3 linked regions of the Stegostoma tigrinum genome follow. The protein of the gene in region 3 purifies or fractionates together with the protein of the main gene of each other region. This does not show direct contact. Links are inferred from orthologs where the notes say so. Each region holds a gene or a part of one and is shown on either strand. Other genes may lie near its edges.

Evidence for each region.
Region 1: the proteins of fam98a (region 3) and nufip2 purify together in Homo sapiens (co-immunoprecipitation; 3 studies listed by BioGRID and IntAct, with this or other methods). This does not show direct contact. The link is inferred for Stegostoma tigrinum from reciprocal best matches to the Homo sapiens genes FAM98A and NUFIP2.
Region 2: the proteins of fam98a (region 3) and atxn2 purify together in Homo sapiens (co-immunoprecipitation; 3 studies listed by BioGRID and IntAct, counting the BioPlex papers as one, with this or other methods). This does not show direct contact. The link is inferred for Stegostoma tigrinum from reciprocal best matches to the Homo sapiens genes FAM98A and ATXN2.

Annotation. Positions count from the first base shown.
Region 1 is NC_081380.1:31,902,724-31,910,114, reverse strand, and holds the start of nufip2 (FMR1-interacting protein NUFIP2), read left to right. Parts: upstream 1-4,320; 5' UTR 4,321-4,359; coding exon 4,360-4,510; intron 4,511-7,391. UniProt on the Homo sapiens protein: Binds RNA.
Region 2 is NC_081379.1:23,200,250-23,208,067, forward strand, and holds the start of atxn2 (ataxin-2), read left to right. Parts: upstream 1-4,455; 5' UTR 4,456-4,748; coding exon 4,749-4,849; intron 4,850-7,818. UniProt on the Homo sapiens protein: Involved in EGFR trafficking, acting as negative regulator of endocytic EGFR internalization at the plasma membrane.
Region 3 is NC_081362.1:81,689,206-81,697,694, reverse strand, and holds the start of fam98a (protein FAM98A), read left to right. Parts: upstream 1-5,147; 5' UTR 5,148-5,162; coding exon 5,163-5,317; intron 5,318-8,489. UniProt on the Homo sapiens protein: Positively stimulates PRMT1-induced protein arginine methylation. Involved in skeletal homeostasis. Positively regulates lysosome peripheral distribution and ruffled border formation in osteoclasts.

The sequences.
Region 1 (7,391 bases), on a different chromosome or scaffold from region 3:
TTCACATTTTTCTCTAGTTTTTTCCAATCCCCTTTTATTCCTCATGAGATTATCGTTGTCATGTTTCATTGTCCATGAAACACAACTTCTGCTTTTTATCTAATGTTTATTCCTACTAAACTGCAGACAATGCATCTTATCATCTTGATCAAAGGCTAACTGTTAATGTAATGCCTCCATCTCCTCAGGTTCTTTTTCACTCTCTATCAAATGTGCCTCTATCAATCATCCCCTTATAAGCCATCCTTGACAATTCTATCTTTTCATCTCATCCCAAATGCCCTTTCCTCTCCAAAGTCCTGGAAGATGTCAAAGACAAATTCACATTTATCTCTTCCAAAACTCCATGTTAGCTTAAACTCTTCAGAGATGTGTCTACCTATTCTGTAAGACCACAACATACAAGGGTAGAATCAGACCATTCGGCCATCAAGTCTGCTCTGCCATTCAACCATGGCTGATATGATTCTAAGCCCCATTCTGTTGCCTTTTTCCCATAATCCCTAATGGGGTGGCATGGTGACGGCTCAGTGGTTAGCACTGCAGCCTCACAGCACCAGGGACCTGGGTTCGATTCCAGCCTCGGGTCACTGTCTGTGCAGAGTTTGCACATTCTCCCCGTGTCTGCGTGGGTTTTCTCCGGGTGCTCTGGTTTCCTCCCACAGTCCAAAGATGTGCAGACTAGGTGGATTGGCCATGCTAAATTGCCCATAGTGTTCAAGGGTGTGTGGACTTGGTGGGCTGAAGGGCCTGTTTCTACACTGTAGGGAATCTAATCTAAAACCCCTTACTCCCCTTATGGCAATCAGCTGAATCAAATTCACTAAATATCTCTGGGATTGTGATGTGCATCTTTCCTTACTCTGCTCAAATGTTTTATACCTTTGACATATCAAACTACCCTTTTCATTTGATTTTACGTTATTGGTCTATTCCCTCATTGGCTTCATCCTTGCCAGTATCTCTAACTTCATCTAGCAGGTCAAATCTGAGAACATTCTTGCAATCATGATCTGTTGCCTAGCCTCCATTCCTAAATCCACCGTTCATGGCTGTGTCTTCATCCTTAAATTCGTAACCAAATTCTGCAATACCATACCTAAATCTCCCCAACTCTTTTTCCTCACACAGGATCCTCTTTACAAATATACCATTACACAAGCTCTAGACACCCAAGTCTCTGTTATCTATGTTAATTTTTCCCTCATGAATCCCCTTGGACTGGTATTTTATATGAAAGATGCCTCATATGTGCAACATTTCTAAATTTGCCTTAACAGGGTGTGAAGAAAATCACATCAGCCTCCAAATTTATTTGGCAACAAAGGATTAAAAAATTACTGACTGCATTATCACTGATGTATTGAGCAATATTTATACCTCTGTCAACATGACAAAATTCATAATTGGTTAATATGACAAAGGTGTATATAGGAGCTTGCTGTGCTTAAATTTGTTTCTGCATTGTCTGCAATACAACATAAGGACAGCAGATACATGAGAACACCACTGCCTGCAAGTTTCCCTCCTAACCATTCACCATCCTGCTGTACATATATTGCTGTTCCTTCAATGTCATTGGGTTAATATCCTGAATCTCCCTCCCTGGTTATATTGTTTGTCTAACTATACCACATGAACTGCAGTGGCTCAACAGACAGCTAACCACCGCTTTCTCACAGGCAACTAGGCATGGACAATATATGCTGGCCACCAACTATCATCCACATCCCACGAGTGAATAATAAAAAACTGCAAAATTAATTCATTACTCGCAAAGAGGTTTGGGATGTCCTACTGTTTGGAAAGTGCTATATTTTTGTGTGATGATAAGGCACAGAAGGCCATTTGATCCTTCATGCCCTTTCTATCATTCCAGTCTTTTACACAACGATAAAGCACATTACACCATCATAACATTCTTAAAAAGAGAGACTTGCATTTGTATAATTCTGTTACTATTCACAACCACCAGTTATCTCAAGTCGCTTTGCTTTAAAAAGCTAAGGAACAACCTATGGTCCCAAAAGGCATTAAATTAATTCAAGGGCATAAAATTGAGTGACAAAGCACAGAAGGAGGCCATTCAGTTCAGCATGCCTGCTCCATCATTCTAACAAATATGAGGCAATAAAGGCAATATAATCTATTTATGTTAGTGGCCGATCACCGAAACTAGAAAGCAGGTCTAGCAGCACAATGGTTCACACTTCTGCCTCACAGAACCAAGGAACTAGTGTGATTCCAGCCTTGAGTGGCAGTGTGTGTGTGTGGAGTTTGCACATTCACCCATTTTTCTGCCAGATGCTCCAGTTTCCTCCCATAGTCCAAAGGTGTGCAGGTTAGGTGGATTGGCTACGCTAAATTGCCTACAGTCTCCAGGGATGTGCAAGCTAGACGGATTAGCCATGGGGAATGCAGGGTTACGCTTGGGCAGATGGTGTGGACTTGCAGGGCCAAATGGCCTGCTTCTGTACTCTAGAGATTCTATGATTCAAATGAAATTAAACAGTTATTTATATATACAATTCATTCATGGAATATGGGCTTCACTGGCTGGGCCAGCCTTTATTGCCCATCACTAATTGCCCTTGAGATGATTGTACATATCGTGTTCCACTGCAGTCCACGTGCTGTGGATAGACCCACAACATGTTAAGGAAGGAATTCCAGGATTTTGACCGCGTGATAGTGAAGAAACAGCGATATACTTCCAAGTCAGGGCCTTGTAGTGCTGTAGGTATTGGCCCTACCTCTTGGATAGCTTTATGTTCAATTGCCAGCTGCCCTGAAGGAATAACTTTATATATTTATTTGTTATACCTATGACAGGACATCATTTGTGTGTATATTACAAGTGTCGGGTTCAATTGAGGCATTCAGACTTGTTTCCTTTGTCTTCCAGTCCAGAGCCAGAGGACACAACATCAAAGTGGTTATCCATTTAAGACAGATAGGAGGTGAAAAAGATAGATTCAACGTTTCAGATCTGGTGACCCTTCCTCAGTTCTGACCAGACCAGAAACCTTAACTTGTATTTTCCTTCACAGATGCTACCAAACTTCTTTATTGTTCCTGATTTACAGCATCCTCAGTTCTTTTGGTTTTTAAGACAGGAGGAGGAATGTATTGTCTCAGAATGGTAAATGTATGGAATTCTTTAGTATTCAGGTCTGTAGAGGTTGGATCACTTAAGTATATGCAAAGTTGAAATAGATTGATGTTTAATCACAAAAGGTTGTGGGGGGAGAAAAGTGAAACTGAAGATCAGAGCATTTTTGATCAACTGGCCCAGAAATGTTAATACACACCTCAGCAGCAGGTGGGTGTTGAGTCTTTTCCCTGGACGGTCAGAAGCTGAGGGGTGACCTTGTAAAGGTCTATAAAAATATGAGGGGCATGGATAGGGTGAATTGTCAAGGACCTACCCGGGACACCTAATCCAGAGATAGGGACACTCCAACGACCCCTGCTGGAGTTGAGGAATATCTGATCATCAAAGATCTGGTTGAGAAGCCTGCAGATTGGATGGGCAGAGTGGCCTGCATCTACCAATCCGTCTTTTATGGTTACCCTGAAAGGAAGATTTTACGAGCTGGGGAAGATGTAGGCGGTTTGGGAGGCTGGATGATGGAAGCACGGCCGGCAAAAACAGAAATTGTTGGAAAAACTCTGCGGTCACAGCAGCACCTGTGGACAGAAATCAAGAGTTAACGTTTCGGGTGCAGTGGTCCTGCTTCGGAAGCCGAGAGTTTGTCACTGATTTCCAGCGTCTGCGGTTTTATTTTCTTTTTTAAAAAGGAGAAAAAGCGCGGAAAGACAAAAGAGAAAAGCAATTGTCGGCCGAGGCGCAAAAAAAATACAAAACCCTAGAAATTGTCCGCCGACGGTAAAGAGCTATTCTATCCATTTCTCAACAAAGTCAAGCACCGACCTGTGCCGAGGGAGGCCGAGCTAACGTTTCCAGTTCAGTGACCCTTCAACTGACGGGGGTGGAAAAGGAAGAGGCCGTTCAGCCCCTCGCGTCACGTCAGCCCCTCGCGCCAACTCATCAGACAATTGGGTCTTGTGTTCGCCACGCGAGGTGTGGGGGGGTGGTGGAGGAAGCAGGTCCGTGTCGAATGTGCCGTTCGGAGTAGAGCGCGACGCGTGCGGTGAGGGGCAGAGACCAGCGAAAGGAGTAGGGGAAAGAAACAGTTGGAGGAGGAGCAGCAGATCAGGCCCGGGTGTGTCGAATCAGCTGCCGCCAGTCGGGTAAACGCAGGACGCAGGCGCAGTGCCACCTCCCCGTCTGCCTGTCTGTCTCTCCCTCTCCCTCTCTCTTCCCCCCCCCCGCCCCCACACCCACCCCCTCGTTCAATGGACGAAAAGTGCGGCCGCGAGCAGCCCTCAGCTCCCGCTCCTCTCACCAATGGAGACGCCCAACAGCAGCAGGCCGCCGGCGACCTAATCACCAAAGTAAGCGATGTCTCAGACGGTCAGAAAACGAAGAAAAAGAAGAAGAAAGCAGGTGAGAGCGCAACCGAAGATCTTATCAACCGGTGTAAATGTTATTGACGGGGAGAGGTTACGTAAAAAAAATGTCGGTTGATGATGGTGGTGGGGGCTGCGGGGGTGGGAGGGGGTGTAGGTTTGCAGCCGCGGATCGTGGTGACCTTGGTGGCTTCAGTTACACTCTTTAGGCCCCTGAAGGCCGTGCCGGATCTAATATTCCCACCACCACCACCACCTCCTCCGCCTCTTCTTGGTAACCGTGTCGCCGTCTGTCTCGTCTTTCCTTCCACCTCCTCCTTCACTCACAGCCTCTTTTCTGAGGGAATGAGGCGCGGTGCCGCTGGGGGAGAGGGGAGACGGTTGGCGGTCTTTTGCTCTATTTCTGCCGGCGTGAGTCGGGGCGGGCAGGCCGCAGGCCCCGGCCTGTGGATGGTGGTGATGGTGGTAGTGTTGGTGGCGGCGATGATGATGATGCCGGCTCACTGGAATGTTCTTCAGCTGCCATTTCCTGTCCGCCATGTTGGAGGAGACCCACACACACTCACTCCGTGTGTCTCTCTGCCTCCCCTTGGAGTTGGATGGTCAACGTTTTAAACAACAGCCCCCCACCACCCTGATGTACGTCACGCAAACGGGAGGAGGTTGCATTGTTGCTGAGCTTTTTAAAGAAAAGAAAAAAGATCTTTATAAATAGTTATCCCACTCTCCTGCGTGCGCGCGCACACATGAGTATTAACCGGGAAAGACAGGGAGTGTTGCTAGCGGCCCCTTCCTCGCCTCGTCTATTTATCCGCTCCAGCGTTAGACTTTTCTTTCCCTTTTCCCCACCCCACGTTTTTCTTCTTGACTTCAAGGGTAATCTCGTCCTCGACGGTTAATGTCTTCCAGATTCTTCTCGATGCTTCATCTCTTTCCTTAACCACCCCCCCCGCCCCGCTCCTTTCTCAATCAGGGTTGGTTTCATAAAGCGAAACATTGCTTACACAATTTGCTGTCTTCCCCCACCCCACGCCCGCTATTGAAGGAAAATATGTATTCGTGATTTTTTTTGGAAGGGTCCATTATTTGGCAGGTGCAGTATAGACTTTGCAACGTGGGAAAGTCGATGAGGGGTCCAGTTACAAGCGGGATTATCGAACACTTTGAAAACCTTAAATTATCGCAAATACTTAATTTTAGGACAAATGTTACAGTATATCAACAGCATCTTTGGGCCTTGCCAGGGACTACTCCAGGTAAAAGAGCCCTTACGCAAAAGACAGGCAGAAAGCGTAGCATTGACAAAATAACCTGATGTAACTTGTTTGATTTACGTTAAGGATCGAATAGCTTTGATTTCAGAAATCTTTAGTACGTTTTTGTGTCTTTAGATGCATTGAATTAAATGTCTAGATCAGTCATATGTTTGTCATTAAGTGTAAGGTTGAACTAGTACTTCTTACAAGCTGGGTTTAAATATGCTTGCAGTATGTTGTGTGTATGGGTGTACTTTCAAAAATATGTGAAATTGAGTATCCAGTGATGTAAGAAGTATTCCAAATCTGTAGTTTATCATAAATGTTTGAATGCTGGAAAATATGGAATTAAATAATTAAACTTTAAATTAGCCTTCAAGATATCCAGCATGTCCACTATAATAATTTGCACAGAACATTGTCTTAATTTCAAACACTTGCGAAGGAGATCCAAGGGATTGGTGGTATCGTGAAGAAACTTTTATTTAAGCACTTACTATTAATTGTTGAACTGTTTATATCTAGTTAGGTATTTGCCATTATTATAATTAGCCTGTGTGAAAAGAGGTCTTCCATCTATGTGGGGCTTGCTGTTGCTGCAATTTATGAAAGTAATCTCTTAGCTTTGACAATGATATTGAGTTTGTTCCATCAGTGTGAATTTCAAAATCATAATTTTTAAATTTGTGTAAATAGGCAAATAATCCCCTTTCTGTTCCTTTAAATTAGGTGTTGTTCAGCTGTAAATATATTTGTTCAAAACTTTGCTATTCCTTTCCAAATGGTTTTATGGCTTAAGCTCAAAAATTGTTCCATATCAATGCTGCATAGTATCCTGCATATGAGCAATGACTGTCAATTTAGAAGTTCGGTTTCAGGACTCTGCTTTATGTAGGAGTTCATTGAGATGGTTCTGAAATTAATTAAAGACCACAAAATATATTTTGTTAACAATTTTCTTGATGTACTGGAATCAAATCAACCACAAGTGAATCAGGACATGCTACTATTGTAAACGTGTAGGTTTCTTTATGTTGTTGTCTTGAATGTTTTTGAACGTGGCTGAGACAAGGGCACTTTATCTCAGCTTAATGTTGCTGAAACCCTTATCCATGTTTTTTGACCCCTATGCTACCTTGGGTAATCCTGGTTGGTCTTCCATGCTCTACCCTTTATGAATTTGAAAATAATCCAAAACTTTGCCCATGTACCAAGTCCTGTAGATCCTTCCCCTGCTAACCTGCTGTTTGGCTCCTGATCAATCTATTATTTGCAACCATGCTTTCAAATCTGCCTCTGCAACCCTACCACTCAAACATCTGGCTTCCTGAGTCTTCTGATTGTAATAACTTCATCCTTGCTTGCCAAGGCTCAGCTCTAGAACTTTGTAAGTATCTCTGCCTTTCTTTTGGTCCTCTGGATTTAAGCGTCAATATCTTTTTGGCTAAGCTATTGGCCATCTTTGTCTTAGTGTGGGAATTTAATATATTGTGTTGTGAAGCAGTCTTGGTCACTTACTTTTGTTTCAGATGTTATTGAAGTGCAAATTTTAATTTGGGCATCTGGGCATTTGTCCAGAACTAAAACATCAAAGTATAGATAAAAATGCTGCTTTTGCCTCTTTATTTGATTGTTTGGCTTAAAAATAAAATCAACTGCATC
Region 2 (7,818 bases), on a different chromosome or scaffold from region 3:
GGCCTATTTAAAATTCACATCTTGTTTTCAAATAGCTCTGTAGCTTGCCCCTCATCCCTGTAATCTCTTCTGGCCTATCAAACTTCACGAGTGCGCATCTCCAGTTCTGTCTGTGTGCATCATTAATTTGGATCATTTCACAATTATCTGCCTTGCATTCAACTGTCTAGACCCAAGTTCTGGAATTTCTTCTCTAAACTGTCAGCCTTGCTAGCTCTCATATGGGATGACTTTTAAAAATACCTTTTTGCCCAAGCTTCATCATTTGCCCTAATATCTCTCTGCAGTTTAGTGTCTGGTTTTATTTAGTATTACTTGAGAAACACTTTGAGATGCCTTATTGTGCTAAAGACTATGGAAATGCAAGCTGTTAGTGTTAAATATGCTTGCATTTTATTTCAGGCTTAATAAAAAGTGGTTCCATATATGATTTTTGGATAGAACTACTGGTAATGATTTATTTCAATTTGATAAGAAGGATCTCATTTTTAATGCATTGATGTAATTCTTTGATCAAGTTCAACTGTATGAAACAAAATTCTGAACTAACATAAATAATTCATGTCCTCAAACTAGTATCACGAGCAAATTACTTAATTCCAACAAATCAAATTAGTTATGCTTATTTGGCTTGCTGTGGAATTATGAATTCCCCACTGCAACTATAAAAATTTTTATGCTTCCAGAATATGGATGGTAAACAATAATCGAAGTTTTAAAACAATTAGGCATTAATACAAATATGTCAAATAACTTTGTTAAGAAAACATCTTCACAGATGCTGAAAGAGCTGAGTATTTCTCGTACTCTCTTTCTATTATAGATTGTGTGATTGAGTGGCAGCTGAGGCAAATAAAAATGGAAACACAGAACTTTGTAGGCTTCAAGCTAGAAATGCGTTCCATTAGAGGTTTCTAGTCTCAAATACAAACCACATTTTTTCCCCAGTCCCCTAAATTGTTGGTATACTCATCCCACGTTGTTGGCAGTTCCTGCTGAATAAATGGGAGCTTAAGGTTAGAAATTATTAAAGTCAATATTACAGACTGTTTCTTGAATTTATGTTAGCCTATTCAACTGAAGCAGATAGGGCAGGGTGGAAGAAAGATACTGAATTGGCAAGCATATGAGATTTGCAAATGCATACAATATGGAGGTATCCCTTAATCTGTGTACCATTCTAGGTTGGACAAGGTATACATAAACTAAAAGGAGTATTTGGAGCTGTAATCTCATTGAATGGTAGAGCAGTCTTGATGGGTGAATTGTGGAAACAACCTGATAGGCTAAATGGCCTACTTCAGCTCATATCTTTTGGTGGTGTGAGAATGAAAAGTACTAGAGAAGAATTGTAGGTGATAGGAATGTTAAAGAATAAAGCTGTGTCATTGAGTAATGATCCATTCAGAAAAAGGAAAGGAAGACAAGATATGTTACATGAGAGATTACTGCAAGACGGGCAGATTAAGGTCGCCCATTGAAAGCAGGAATTGGCACAGTTGAAGATTAAGCTTAAAAGTTCCCATCAGTGGGATGGGACTGGGGACACAAACGGAATAGAAAAGACTTGGTTGAGGATCCTGACTACCATGGTTGAAGGGGTTGAGAATCCTCAAATGGGATTTTATTTCTGAATCATCTGTAAATTAACTGGAGTAAGTGGGACAGAGAAACAGGCGAAGGGGAAATAGAGATTTTTGACTTGCTGGCTGAGCTGGCTTGTTCTTGTTTAGACGTTTCATCAACATGTTAGGTGACATTGTCAGTGGAGCCTCCAATGAAGCTTCATCGGTGACTCCATTGATGATGTCACCTAGCATGGTGATGAAACATCTGAATGAGAACAAGCCAGCTTGGCAAGCAAGTCAATGACCTCCCCCACAACCTGAGCTACAGATTTTTGGTAAAACTTTGAAGGGGAAGTAGAGTTGCGAAATGAGCAGAAGGGTGATCTGGACAGAAGTAGGATTTATTATTAGTATGGTTTAGAAGGGGTGGACGCTAGGAAGTTATTTCCGTTAGGCGGGGAGACTAGGACCCGTGGGCACAGCCTTAAAATTAGAGGGGGTAAATTTAAAACTGAAATGAGACGACATTTCTTCAGCCAGAGAGTGGTGGGCTTGTGGAATTCATTGCCAGGGAGTGCAGTGGAGGCCGGGACGTTGGATGCCTTCAAGGCAGAGATCGACAAATTCTTGATCTCAGAAGGAATCAAGGGCTACAGGGGGAGAGTGCAGGGAAGTGGAGTTGAAATGCCCATCAGCCATGATTTAAATGGCGGAGTGGACTTGATGGGCTGAATGGCCTTACTTCCACTCCTATGTCTTATGGTCTTACGGATTTAGTGGGCTTTCATTTCTGGAGGTAGCAAGCAGTCCAGGAAGGGAAGATCAAAAATGGAGAGTATACAGTTCAAGTAATTGAAAACTTGAAACAATGAATTAAATATTCTAAATTGGGGCGAGTGATAGTCATCACTTTAAGAGGAAACGAGGTCAGAGGAGAACCTGAGAAGAGAGCAAGGACATGTACACATTTCCTGCAACAATATTATGAATACATTTATTTATTTTCTGTAAATCTGTTTTTAACAGTTTTGTACAAACATTTTAAGCATTTGTAATCGGCACTTTGAAGTAACAACATGGTTATTAAAATAATTTGTTAAAAAAACTTAATTACGTGGCTGGTCCTGGATCAAACTGATTGCTCTTGTCTTGTAACCCTCTATCATAAACTAAATTCAATCACTTAAAACTTATGTTTAGCAGTAAAAAAAAAGCTATGGAAGTTGCTAACTTCTAATAACGACCTAACTGATGGCTCATTAACTATTTTAGACCAATATCAATCAACCATTCCAAAACTAAAATCAAATCTGGAAAAAAACCAGAAAATTATACAAATACTCAGGAGGTCATACAGAATCTGCAGAGAGAGAAAAAGATTTATGGTTCAGATAAATGACATTTTATGAGAATGATTATCTGCTTTACTTGACCTATACGTGTATAAATTTCATGGCGGATTATATATTCTCCTGGATTAGTTTTGCCCGCCATGCAGTTGAATGGAACACGCCCAATAAATACAACCTTTTGATATCAACCGTGTCCCGACAATAGACTAATTTGAATAGGCTGTAAATTCATTGTAAGTTCTCAAATCTTTCTAATGCATCAAATTAGCATGATTATAACTAAGGTGTGAAGAACAGGCTTCAATGCGACTGTCATCTTGGAATACGAGGTACACTTGCAAAGTAGAGGTGTGATGCACAAAACTAATAGTAGATATGAGCTTTTCCCTTTGTTGATGTATAAATGTTGGTCCGAACAATTACCTACTTTCCTTGTACCAATTTATCCATGTCTGTTTACAATTACAATTTGCCTATTTACCTTCAGTCGTAGCACTCTTGCCTTTGAGCCAAGAGGTTTTGTCTTCTTTTCTCACTGCAGAGCTCCACACAGAAAAACCTGACACTGCAGCAGTGCAGAAAGAATCCTACATTGTCAAATATGCTACCTTTCAGATACAAGAAACGAAGGCTCCATGTGCCTTTTCAGGGTAATTGTAAAATATCTCACGGTGCTATTTTGAAGCAAAGCATGTGTTATTCTGGTTAGTCTAGCAACTATTTCACCCTCATCATAATATATACATATTAATTTAGTTGAGAGATAACAGGCCCGAAACGTTAACTTTCCCGCTCCTGATGCCGTTTGGCCTGCTGTGGGGATCCAGCTCCACACCTTGTTACATAATTTAGTTATTTTGTTTGCAACAATTTGCTGTGCTTAGATGGCTGCCATTTATTCGATAGCATAACATTTCATGCTTTGCGATGTCCTATTATGAAAGGTGCTATGTAAATACAAGTTGGGTGTGTTCTCAGTGAGACTAGGAGGAAATGTTGACCTTTCCTAAGAAAGAGCTGAGCAGGGTGCAATGTCCAAAGATCAACATCACAAGTAAAAATGAACTCAATTCAACCAAGCTGAGATAGTGATCACTACTCCGGCCATCTGAGAGCTTGTCCCTCACCCGCAAAATAAACCTCCGCGCTCGTCGACGAGGTCAGAAGTCCGAAAGAACAGGACCGGAGAGCAGTGGGGGGAATGAGGGCAAAGCCAAACACAGTAACAATAAAGGGGGAGGGGGGGGAAGTCCCGTCGTAAAACCACTCGTTCCCGTCCATCTCCTGGCCGTTCTTTCAGCAGCGTCGAGTCCGATGATGCAGAGCCAACTTACTTTGTGGGTGGGGGAGGGGTGATCGACCGCATTGCCGGTGTGGTTTGGGGGTAGGGGAAGGTGCGAATGCGCCGGTCGGTGGGTGCGCGCGCACACGCCGGCGTGCCCGAATCCTGTTTGTCTGCCCCTCCCCTCAAACCTCCCCCCCCCTCCGCCACCCCGACCCCTCTCTGCCCCTCCCCTCCCCCCCCCCCCCATTCTCGTCCGTTCACCGTGTTGTTGGTGGCGGCCGAAGCTTTGCGATAGCAACGGGCGTTGCGGCGCTAACTGACTTTGAGGCCTGGACAGGCGATACGGAGGCCGCATCCGTACTCTTGTCCCTGACGACGTTTTCGTATTCCTCGGCGGGGGTGGGGAGAAGGGGAGGGGGGGAGGGTTTCACTGGTGTTGTGGATGCTGGGCCGGACCTTTTCTGTTCAAGGGTTTGAAGTGACTGGAAGCGGCATCTCTCTCCCACCCCTTGCCCTCCCCCATCACCATCATCGCCCACCATCATGTCCATGAAGCAGCCCAACAGCCGAAAGCCCAGCGGCGGCATCGGGACTGGTGGAGCAGCAGCTGGAGTTGGCGGAGGAGGGAGACAGTCAGGCGGCAGGTAATGAACAGGCTCTGTGTCCCCCCCCCTCTTTCCCCTCTCTGTGTCCCCCCCCCTCTTTCCCCTCTCTGTGTCCCCCCCCCTCTTTCCCCTCTCTGTGTCCCCCCCCCTCTTTCCCCTCTCTGTGTCCCCCCCCCTCTTTCCCCTCTCTGTGTCCCCCCCCCTCTTTCCCCTCTCTGTGTCCCCCCCTCTTTCCCCTCTCTGTCCCCCCCCCTCTTTCCCCTCTCTGTCCCCCCCCTCTTTCTCTATTGGTCCAACTTTAGCCCGAGGCTCTGGAGGCGGCCTTCTGTCACTGATGGGCCCGCCTTTCCCCTTCAATATGCCGGGCCCCGCGTTACCGAGAAACGAAACGGTAGTGTCCAGGCCTTGCGCTCAGGCCTCATCTTCCAGCGGGTTAATGCCGCTATGAGGATGCGGCCTACACGCCAGAAACCATAGACATCTGTATTCGGGCGGCTTTTAAAATACAGCCATTAAGCAGATGTAGATTAACCAATGCTTAAAGAGGATACATTCCTTTAGGGAAATCCGTTAGGTGCGATACAGCGTCAGTGTTCAAAGTTTCTTAGACCTTTACATTTTCTTCAATCTCAACAAAAGTATCTTTATGAAACGGAACTTGTTCAAGGTTTAAACCATTGTCAATGAATATTCGTTAGACACGAACATATCGAAATGCAGAACAATTATTACAATAATCTTAAATTAAGATCATACTGAGAATTTCAAAGTTACTTGTAATTCGTCAATAATGCAGAGTTATGATGTGACATTAAAATCAGAACAATTGTATTCAAAAGAACAATGTCTTGTATGTTACATGACGATTTAAATAACCGTACTGTTTTAGTGAGATTGACTGTGCGTGAGGAATATTAAGCTTTCTACAAAAATTTGTTCCTTGCAATGAATTTGTGCTGTACGTTTTGTGACAGTGCTGTACATACAATGCGAACATTTTACAGAATATTATGAAATTAAATATATTTATCCTCTAATAGTTAAAATTGAGCTGAAGATGTACTTCAGTGGTACTCTGAAAAACTAAGTTTGTGTATGCTTCAGCCCATGTGTTGCAACAGAGTTGATGACTGGCATTTGAATCATATTTACATTGGTTTTTATCTCCTTATTACTAAATGATTTAACCCTTTACTCCATTAATGATACCAGTGTTTTTGACTCATAATAATTATATAGTATTTTGAAGTTAATTATGAAAGTTCCAAGTATTTTGTTCCTTACAACTATAATTATATACTTATCCTCTCTGGAATGATGAGCTTTCCTCTTCCCAACAGTGGCAGATATTTTGTTAGATTTGTGTTTAGTTTGTACTGATCGGTTTGACTTGTTTATTTTTGAAATTTGTGTTTGGCATTGTATTGATTTCATTGCTTTTGTTCAAAGATGTGCAGGTTAGGTGGATTAGCCATGGGAAATACAGGGTTACAGGGATCGGGGTGAGTAGGTCTGTGTCAGATGCTTTTTGAATGCTCGTTGTGGACTTGATGGGCTGAATAACCTCTCTTAGTGTAAGGATTTTATGATCGTGTCAATGTGAATGAGTTTAATTATACATGCCAAAACAAGAGGAACTGTTGTTTCTTAAGCCTTTCCTCAAATATTTCTCTTCCATTGGGGAAAAAACACTTTCTCACTTTTAAGGACGTAATACAAATAGCTTTGCTTCAAATAATTGTCTTGGAAGATTTTTGGCTCTGTTTTCACAAGACAGATAATTTTAAAATTTAAATCATCGGACATGTAACCAAGGTGGAGTCGGAAATAACTCAAAGCTTTTATAGTAATTTTCCTTTTATATGTTAAAATGAATAGTTGCCTGATTTGACACCAGTTCACAATTCATCTTCAATCTGCCCATCTCCTGTGTGATTTGCTTGATCTTTCAACATCTCCTTGGACCACATGAGATATCGTAGGTTTAAAAGCCCCTAATCCCCATATCAAGCCTTTTGGAGCTTTTCAACTCAAACTACTGTTTGAAAAATCATATGTACTTGGCAAATCAGCGCTTATTCACTTATATGTTTAGGCATTTGCTTGCAGCCAGGAGAAAGTGAGTGAGGTAAAAACTTAGATTTTTTTCCTGCTTTTCACAACGTCAGAATGCCTAAAACATTACAGACCTAATGAAATACTCTTTCTTTAAATTGTAGCTACTGTAATGTAACAAAATGTGACAACCAATTTGTTCACTGCCAAAGAAACAAGATAAATTATGAAGCATATGTATTGGGCAGGACACTGAAGAACTTCCCTGCCTATCGTCTTGTATGGAGAACAGCTGGGTTTTTTAAATTCCAATAATTCAGTGCACACTTTATTTAGGTCAGCCTTCTATGGGGCCAGAAGTCTGGAGTTTACCTTGAATTTGTTATTTCCTGGCTGAGAAGTCTGTAACTTACCATTGAATAAAGGCTATCAGTTAGTTTTTCAATTTGGTTTCTCTGACACAATGTAACAAGGTGAAAAATAGTATCTTGCTAATTTCCAGGACAGATCTTTTTCTCTTGCATCCTCAAAACCCTTTCTCTGTTTGTCCTAACTCCGTTACCTTACAACTGCTCATTCGAGATTGGAAATGACTGTGAAAGTCATTCTCATGTTGGTCTTTTCAATCACGGCAAGAAAATGTCTTAAAACCTACTTGTTTAATTTGAGCCAAAATGTATGATAATCCACTTTGGTATACTGTCCTTGTGGATTTATGTTTGGATGAGGTGTGGCTGTTTGTTCACTCTAGTTTCACAGAATCCCTGATTGAAGCATAACAGATTCTACATTTATTTGCTATTTATTCGATAGTAAATGAACAACAAGGCCTTTTTTATGAATCTGGGCTACAGTTGTGGACCTTGATCTGAGAGGTGCATAAATTTGGTCACAAGTTCCTAATCTATACTGGATGACCTGCCCTTTCTGACTGGCAAGTGCCAGCAGTGATC
Region 3 (8,489 bases):
ATTTCTGAGAAGGTGGTCTCCTCAAGTGAAAACAAACACATCTGCCTGGGCCATAGGCCATTGGTATTTGATGGGTTTTCTGAAGCTAGTTGTCTCCATCAAATACCATATCAAACTGCTGAGGTAATATAAAGCAACAGTAAATTTCATCCTACAAATGTAAACTTTGTCTGTTGTAATGATCAAGGTTGAGAATTATATTGTCATTCTCGTCCCACCACACCATGGATCACAATATAAAATGAAAATCTTTTCTGGTCACCAAGATGACCAAATCTATAACTGGTTTTAAACAGTAAGATCAAAATGAGGTTTCTTAACAAACATAATAATTATTTTATAATCAAAACAAAATTTATTCTGTGAAGATGCAAACAAGTGTTTAGTGTAAACAATCATTAATATTGAAGTACAAACACTTATCCCTCTAAATATCAGCCAAAAACACACACTCCTCAGGAAAAGAGTGAATAAAATTAATTTCTTTCCAGAGACTGATTTTCTGAAAACAAACAAATACTTTTGTCGATGTGCTATTCTCGAAGGCAAAATGATTAAGCGTGGAATGTTCTAAAGCCAGTTGCCCAGATATTCTAGCACGTGTTCAAATAATTAATCATGCAAGGCTGACTCTGGTCTTTCTTTCAGAGCTTGCTCAAGAAATGCATGACTGAGAAGTTGCTCCAAACATTTTCAGAAGAACAATTCGATTTCAGCCTGAATTCAAGCAGACCCTTTCAGAAATGGGAGAGATCAACTCTACAGTACTTCCTGGTACTTTTTTTGTCCTCAACTAATTCCAGATACCAAAGTACTCTCCATCCAGTCAGTGTTCAAACCAGACCCAGCAGGGTCTACAGCAAAGTAAGCAGTTATCATTAATCATGTGATTCCTAGGGCGCCATGTTAAAAAAATCTCTAATGTTCACAGTGATCTTTCAACAATCATTTTTAACGAATCATTCCAGTTATTTCCACAAAAATTTTAATCATTCTTTTGTTGCACATTTCCTTCAAAACCTAATCCCTCCAAGAAATAATAAATATAAAGCATCACCATAGCCCCCTGCCCTTGGAAAAAATAAAATGCTGTTTTAAAATACATTTTACAGTACAGCGTGAATTAAACAAAAATATTTTTAAAAATTAAGTCACATTTACACTGATTCCCATTCAATCTTTCCAAGTAACTTATAGAATTATCTCTGGTACATTCTTAGCTCTTAGACAATCCAAAAATTCTTGACAAAGGATCAACAGTTACACTGTTTTACCTGCAATGTGAACAATGTTTAAATAACAAGGCTTGGTAGAAAATTCCATTGACATAGTCTGATATACTGTATTATTCCACAAAGGATAGGGGTTTATGATCGGTATGTACCAACGTCTCTCTACAGCTGTGATGGATATATAATTCACAATGTTTCTGGGGAGGTGATGCTTTGTGGGATTATCACTTGATTGATACTCCAGAGACCTAGAGCATTAATATGGCAGCTAATGAAGTCAGAATCAATGAAAATTTGGAATTAAAAGCTAGCCTAATGGCCACCAGGTAATGATTGTAGTAACAACCCAGCTGGTTCACTATTGAACTTTATGCAACAAAATCTGCCATCATTACCTGGTCTGGCCTACAAGTGACTCCAGGCAATGTGGTTGACTCATAACTGCCCTCTGAAAGGTATATCAAACCAGTCAGTTCAAGTGGCAATTAGCAATAGGCAATAAATGCTGGTTCACCCAGCGTCGCCCATATCCAACGAACGAATAAAAGAAGAGCCAGTAGTAAACATACATACAAATATACAAACTGTTATGCCTCACTTAGGTAACACACTGGAAATCAAGTCTTGCTATTCCTGGAGTCATCATAAAGACTAAAGATTTTTATAAGCACCCAGGATTGCCCAATTTACCTGTCTTTCATATCCTGGTTAACAGAAAACATAGAACGAGTTTCTGTACTCATAAGCATTAGTATTTATTACAAATACAGATAAACAACTGTGAAACATCCAGTAGCATCTCAACTAGTTAAGAATTTAATTCCCCCTTATAAAATACACAGACACACACACACATACACACACACACCACACACACACACACACACACACACACACACACACACACAGTCAGACTGAAAAGGCAATTCAAAAATTCCCATTCACAAGGCTGCTGAGATGATTCTTGTGGTGATCAGAATACTGTTTCTCAGTCTTCTTCCTCTAAATGCTTTCACTGATTTGCAGGAGCTACAAGGTGACTGGTTCACACACATAGCAGTGATAATGGGAACTGCGGATGCTGGAGAATCCAAGATAATGAAATGTGAGGCTGGATGGACACAGCAGGCCCAGCAGCATCTCAGGAGCACAAAAGCTGACGTTTCGGGCCTAGACCCTTCGTCTGATGAAGGGTCTAGGCCCGAAACGTCAGCTTTTGTGCTCCTGAGATGCTGCTGGGCCTGCTGTGTTCATCCAGCCTCACATTTCATTATCATACTCATAGCAGTTCTCTGGCTGAGTCATTAGCAACTGCTGAAGGAAAAATAAACTGGTTTACTTCAGACTTAAAGTGGGTGTTGTTGAGACAGCTCCTGGTGGTGGATATCTAACGACTTCTCTGTATCTTATTCACAAGCCCAAACTGTTCAGCTATCTAAGAACTAATCACATAGCTGTTGGCAGGCTGAAGGCCTTTGTCTGCATAAGACCATACAGAATAGGAACAGAAGTAGGCCATTCAGCCCTTCGAGCTCTGCTTTGCCATTCAATGCAATCATGGGTCGTCTGGCATTCCTCAAGGGCAGGATGAATACACTTAATGATAAGATGCTGGGGATTGTTGCTGAACAAAGAGACCTTGGAGAGCAGGTTCATATTTTCTTGAAAGTGGAGTCCCAGGCAGACAGAATAGTGAAGAAGGCATTTGGTATGCTTACCTTTATTGGTCAACGCATTGAATATAGGAGTAGGGAGGTCATGTTGTGGCCCTACAGGACATTGGTTAGGCTACTTTTGGAATACTCCGTGCAATTCTGGTCTCCCTGCTACACAAAGGATGTTGTGAAACTGGAAAGGGTTCAGAAAAGATTTATAAGGATGTTGCAAGGGTTGGAGAGTTTGAGCTATAAAGAGAGATTGAATAGGCTGGGGCTTTTTTCCCTTGAACATTGGAGGCTGAGAGGTGACCTCATAGATGTTTATAAAATCATAAGGAGCACGGATAGGGTAAATAAACAAGATCTTTTCCTTGGGATGGGGGAGTCCAAAACTGGAGGGTACAGATTTAAGGTGAGAGGGGAAAGATTTAAAAGTGATCTAAGGGGCAACTTTTTCATGCAGAGGGTTCTGTGTGTATGGAATGAGCTGCCAGAGGAAGTGGTGGAAGCTGGTACAATTACAACATTTAAAAGGTATCTGCATGGGTATATGAATAGGAAGGGTTTAAGTATGGGCCAAATGATGGCAAATGGGAAATATTTAATTAGGATATCTGGTCAGCATGGATAAGTTAGACCAAAGGGTCTGTTTCCATGCTGTATATCTGTATGACTCTAAGTTCACTTTCCTGCTTTTTTCCTGTAGCCCTTGACTTCTCTACCAATCAAGAATCTATCTCAGTCTTAAATGTAATTAAGAACTCTGCTCACACATCTCTCTGTGGAAAGTCTCTGAAAGAAGAAATGCTTCCTCATCTCAGTCTTAATTTGGTCCCCCTTTTCTGAGATGATGTCATATGATTCTAGACTCTACCATGAAGGAAACATCCTCTCAGCATTACCCCATCAAGCCCCTTAAGAATTATGTTTCAATATCTGGTCAGAACTCCATAGACAAATTAGCTACTTGTTGCCCACTGAAGCGCTATTTGTGTACAACCATCTGGCTTAAGCTCGTCAGTAAACTATAATTGAAGCAACAGCTGTGTAAATCATGTCTAAAATGAGTGTTGGGTTACCGCTTCCAAAAACGTGTAGAAATGCTTCAGCAATCCTTGGTTTTAAAACAATTATTTTCTCATTTCAATACAGGAAAATAAAAAAGACACTGTCTTTACAGAATTAGGAGCAGGAGCAAGGCATTCAAACCCTTAAGTCTGGTCAAATATTTGATAAGATCTTGGCTCATCTGATTGTATACCCAAATTTGCATTCCCACCTACCCCAATAATTTTTCACACCTTACTTACATCTGTCTTAAAACATTCAAGGATTCTGCTTCCACTCCTTCTTCAGGAAGAGAATTCCAAAGACCCACAACTCACTAAGGCAAAAAAAACCCATTTCAGTTTTAAATGGACAATCTCTGTCATAGGATAAAACATTCTCTTCATAACCCCAATCCAATCTTGCCTCACAAGACAACACTCTCATTCCAAGTTCTGAATTTTTTCAGATGCTGCTGGACCTGCTGAGTTTCTCCAGAATTCTCTGTGCCTGTTTCAGATTCCAGCATCCACTGCATTTTGCTTTTGGAAGGTTATGTTGATAGGGCGAGATGAAGAGGGGAAGGAGGACGCCCATGGTCTGGTACGTCAACACTGACATGGATATTTGACAATTGGCCAGAAATGGCCAATTTCTGCGCTGTTAACTTAAATGGGAAGAGATGATATAGGAATTGTAAGCTCTCAAATCTGCAACTTAACATTCTGTGCAAACCCTCATGTTTTGGCTGGGTTCATGGGAATGGTTTTCAAACTGGCACAAAAAGCAGCCAACAGGACCAAAAATCAGAGACAGAAAAGAGACATATTTATGCGTGTGTGTGTGTGAATTATAAATAGGTTCATTTTCAAGACAATCATAGTTTAAAAACAAAACAAATCCGGTTGAATATCTTAACATGACAAACGGGGATGGACTAAAAATGTTAAATAAGACCGTTAGAACATACCCTCAGAAAGAAAGTTTGAACAATCGCCATGGCAACAGCAGAAATTGTGTCAGGGGCTTTCGTGACTAATCATCCGCCTGAATGAAGATTAAGTGTATTATTCAGCGCTATTTGTTTTTATTAATTTCACGGACAGGTTTCGATCGACAAAAGAACTGTTTCATTGTCATTGTTGTTTGCGAGGTGGAGGTTTTGTTTTGTGTGGAGCCGGCCGTCAGGCACGGGGCTGCCCGCGTGTAGAATGAGGCCCCAGACATGCCAACCGGGCAGAAGCCGCGGAGCGGCAGCACTGACGGGGAGGGACGGTCGCTCGGTGTGGGCCGTGAGGAGAGGCCGCTCGCCGCTGCCACGCACTTCAGCCTGGGCTGCGCCATGGAGAATGACATCCTTGACTCGCTGGAGGATCTGGGGTAGGCGCTTGGTGTGGCCCCAGGGCTTTCCCCTCCTCCTCCTCCTCCCCCGTGTCCACCTTCTGGAGGTTTCTCTGCCGGACCGGGCCTCACTGTTAGGTGTTAACCAGCGGGTGGCTTTTCCCCCTTTCGGCCCCCTCCCCCCTCACACGGGGCAGTCAAGTTGACCCTGCGCCCGTTATAAATAGCTTGCTGAGCTGGCCCTAGCGCTGCGGCCTGACTGTGGGTAAAAAGCTTCTGCCCTTTTCCGCTCTGCTGACACGTGTTTCATTGCAGCAAAGGCCTGCCTGTTTTTCTTGTTTCACTCCCCACCCCCACTCCCGTTTTATTTCACCCTCCTGTAATTTGCATATGTATTGACTAACCCGTCGTTTGCCAACATTGAAAAACCTGATTCACCATTGCAGAGGGGTGGGCACTGTCATGTGACGGACAGAGTCCTTGAGCTGAGTGATTGACCAGAAGGCAATTAAGAGTCGACATTGCTAAGGGTTGACTCACATATAGGTCAGACCAGGTAGGGATGGAGTGTTAGAGATAATGGGAACTGCAGATGCTGGAGAATTCCAAGATAATAAAATGTGAGGCTGGATGAACACAGCAGGCCAAGCAGCATCTCAAGAGCACAAAAGCTGACGTTTTGGGCCTAGACCCTTCATCAGAGAGGGGGATGGGGAGAGGAAACTGGAATAAATAGGGAGAGAGGGGGAGGCGGACCGAAGATGGAAAGTAAAGAAGATAGGTGGAGAGAGTATAGGTGGGGAGGTAGGAAGGGGATAGGTCAGTCCAGGGAAGACGGACAGGTCAAGGAGGTGGGATGAGGTTAGTAGGTACCTGGGGGTGTGGCTTGGGGTGGGAGGAAGGGATGGGTGAGAGGAAGAACCGGTTAGGGAGGCAGAGACAGGTTGGACTGGTTTTGGGATGCAGTGGGTGGGGGGGAAGAGCTGGGCTGGTTGTGTGGTGCAGTGGGGGGAGGGGATGAACTGGGCTGGTTTAGGGATGCAGTAGGGGAAGGGGAGATTTTGAAACTGGTGAAGTCCACATTGATACCATATGGCTGCAGGGTTCCCAGGCGGAATATGAGTTGCTGTTCCTGCAATCTTCGGGTGGCATCGTTGTGGCAGTGCAGGAGGCGGAGTGTTTCCTTCCTTCCTTTAAAGGACATTAAAAGGCTGTGTATGATCATCAGCTTTCAACTACAGAATTATTAATTGAATTTATATGCCAGCAGCTGCTGTGGTGGATTTGATCTATGCCCCAGATCATTGGCTGAGCCTTTGTATTATATAATTAAAACTGAAAGAACTGCGGGTGCTGAGGTGTTCTGAAGAAGGGTTACTTGATCCAAAATGTTAACTGATTTCTCCCCACGTATGCTGCAGGACCTAAGCTTCTTTTGGCAACTTCCATTTTTTGTCCTCTGATGAAGGGTCTAGGCCTGAAACATCAGCTTTTGTGCTTCTGAGATGCTGCTTGGCCTGCTGTGTTCATTCAGCTTCACACTTGCTATCCATTTTTGCCTCTATTATTTGTCTAGTGGCATTGTGCCTGTATCTCCCAATGGCAATAATCTATATAAATGAGTTGTAATTCTCAACATTTTCTTGAATAACTTTGAACTATTCAAACCAAAGTCAGTAGGCCTAGGTTCAAGTGCCACCTGCTCCAAATGTACGTTACAGCATTTCTGGTGAATTGATTAGAAAATATCTGCAGCACTTGTCTTCATCGCATGACATGTAGGATGCTAGATCTTGTTGAAAAGAATGGATGCAGTTTGCATTTGCAGCAATGGAATTCTTGGCATTAGGGGCAAATGGAAAAGGTATTTTAGAAGGATTTCTATAAATGGAAACCCTGCATACCAAAATGGAGAGGTAATGCTAAACCTCTCAAAATAATTGGTTAAATCTTACTTAAACAATTGTGACAAATTTGGTGCCCTCGTTTTGAGATAATTTTCAAGGCCAGGGAGAGGGCCCAGAGACACTTACCAATATGATACCTTGAATGAGAGGAGAAATTCGGTGACTGTAGAATGAAGCAGCATGTTAGGAGTTCCAGCAAAGAAGTCTAACTCTTGCCACGGGGGATCTCTAATTACACCCAAATGCTTTAGAACAAAAGGACATGGTAGGGTAAAAAGGAGACTTTTTTTGTAGTTGATGGTTAAGACTTAGTGTTGTAGCAGAAATTGAAATGGAAGATTTGAGTAGGAAAGTGGAATTAATTCATAAGGAGAAAGATACCAAATTGCCAGACTGCAATGTTCAGGCTAAAATTGACAATTGAAATGTATTTGCAACCAGCATACCAACAAAGCAGAAATATGTATTCAAAGAGTCTTAGAGTTTACAGTATGGTCCAGCTCATCCACGCTGACCAGATATCCTGTATTGAAGGAATAGGAGTCTAACACTTGACGTACTGAATAAACTAGAGTTAGAAAGTTTTTAGATGTCCATTCCGGTCAGTTTTGAACAGTGAGACAACAAGGTGTAGAGCTGGATGAACACAGCAGGCCAAGGAGCATCAGAGGAGCAGGAAGGCTGACGTTTCGGGCCTAGACCCAAGGGTCTGGGACCGAACCGTCAGCCTTCCTGCTCCTCTGCTGCTTGGCCTGCTGTGTTCATCCAGCTCTACATCTTGTTGTCTCAGATTCTCCAGCATCTGCAGTTCCTACTATCTCTGAAACAGTTTTGAACAATGCGTACATTTCAATGTGACAAGGAAGATTGAAATAATGCAACTCCTTTCACAGCCTCAACTGAAATGGACTGTTTAAAAGGAAAGTGGATCATAGGTAAGACCTTTGACTATTGCAGACCTCCTTTACCAGTGGATAAATTTGAAGATGTCTCTTCTGAGTAATTTTGTGAACTAGATTAGTTTAATTAATTTGTATCAATCAAATGTAGGGAATGTGTGAACAGGGACTGTGTAAATTCAGAAGGTAAGCATGCAAGTAAAGGAAGCGTAAAGAAGGCAATTAGTAAGTTAGCTTTCATAGTGATGGGATTCCAGAGCAGGAGCAGGGATGTCTTGCTGCAATTATACAGAGCCTTAGTGTGACCACACTTGGACTATTGTGTGCACTTTTGGTCACCTTAGCTGAAGAAGGAAGCTCTTGCTACAATGAGAGTACAGTGAAGATGTATCAGACTGATCCATG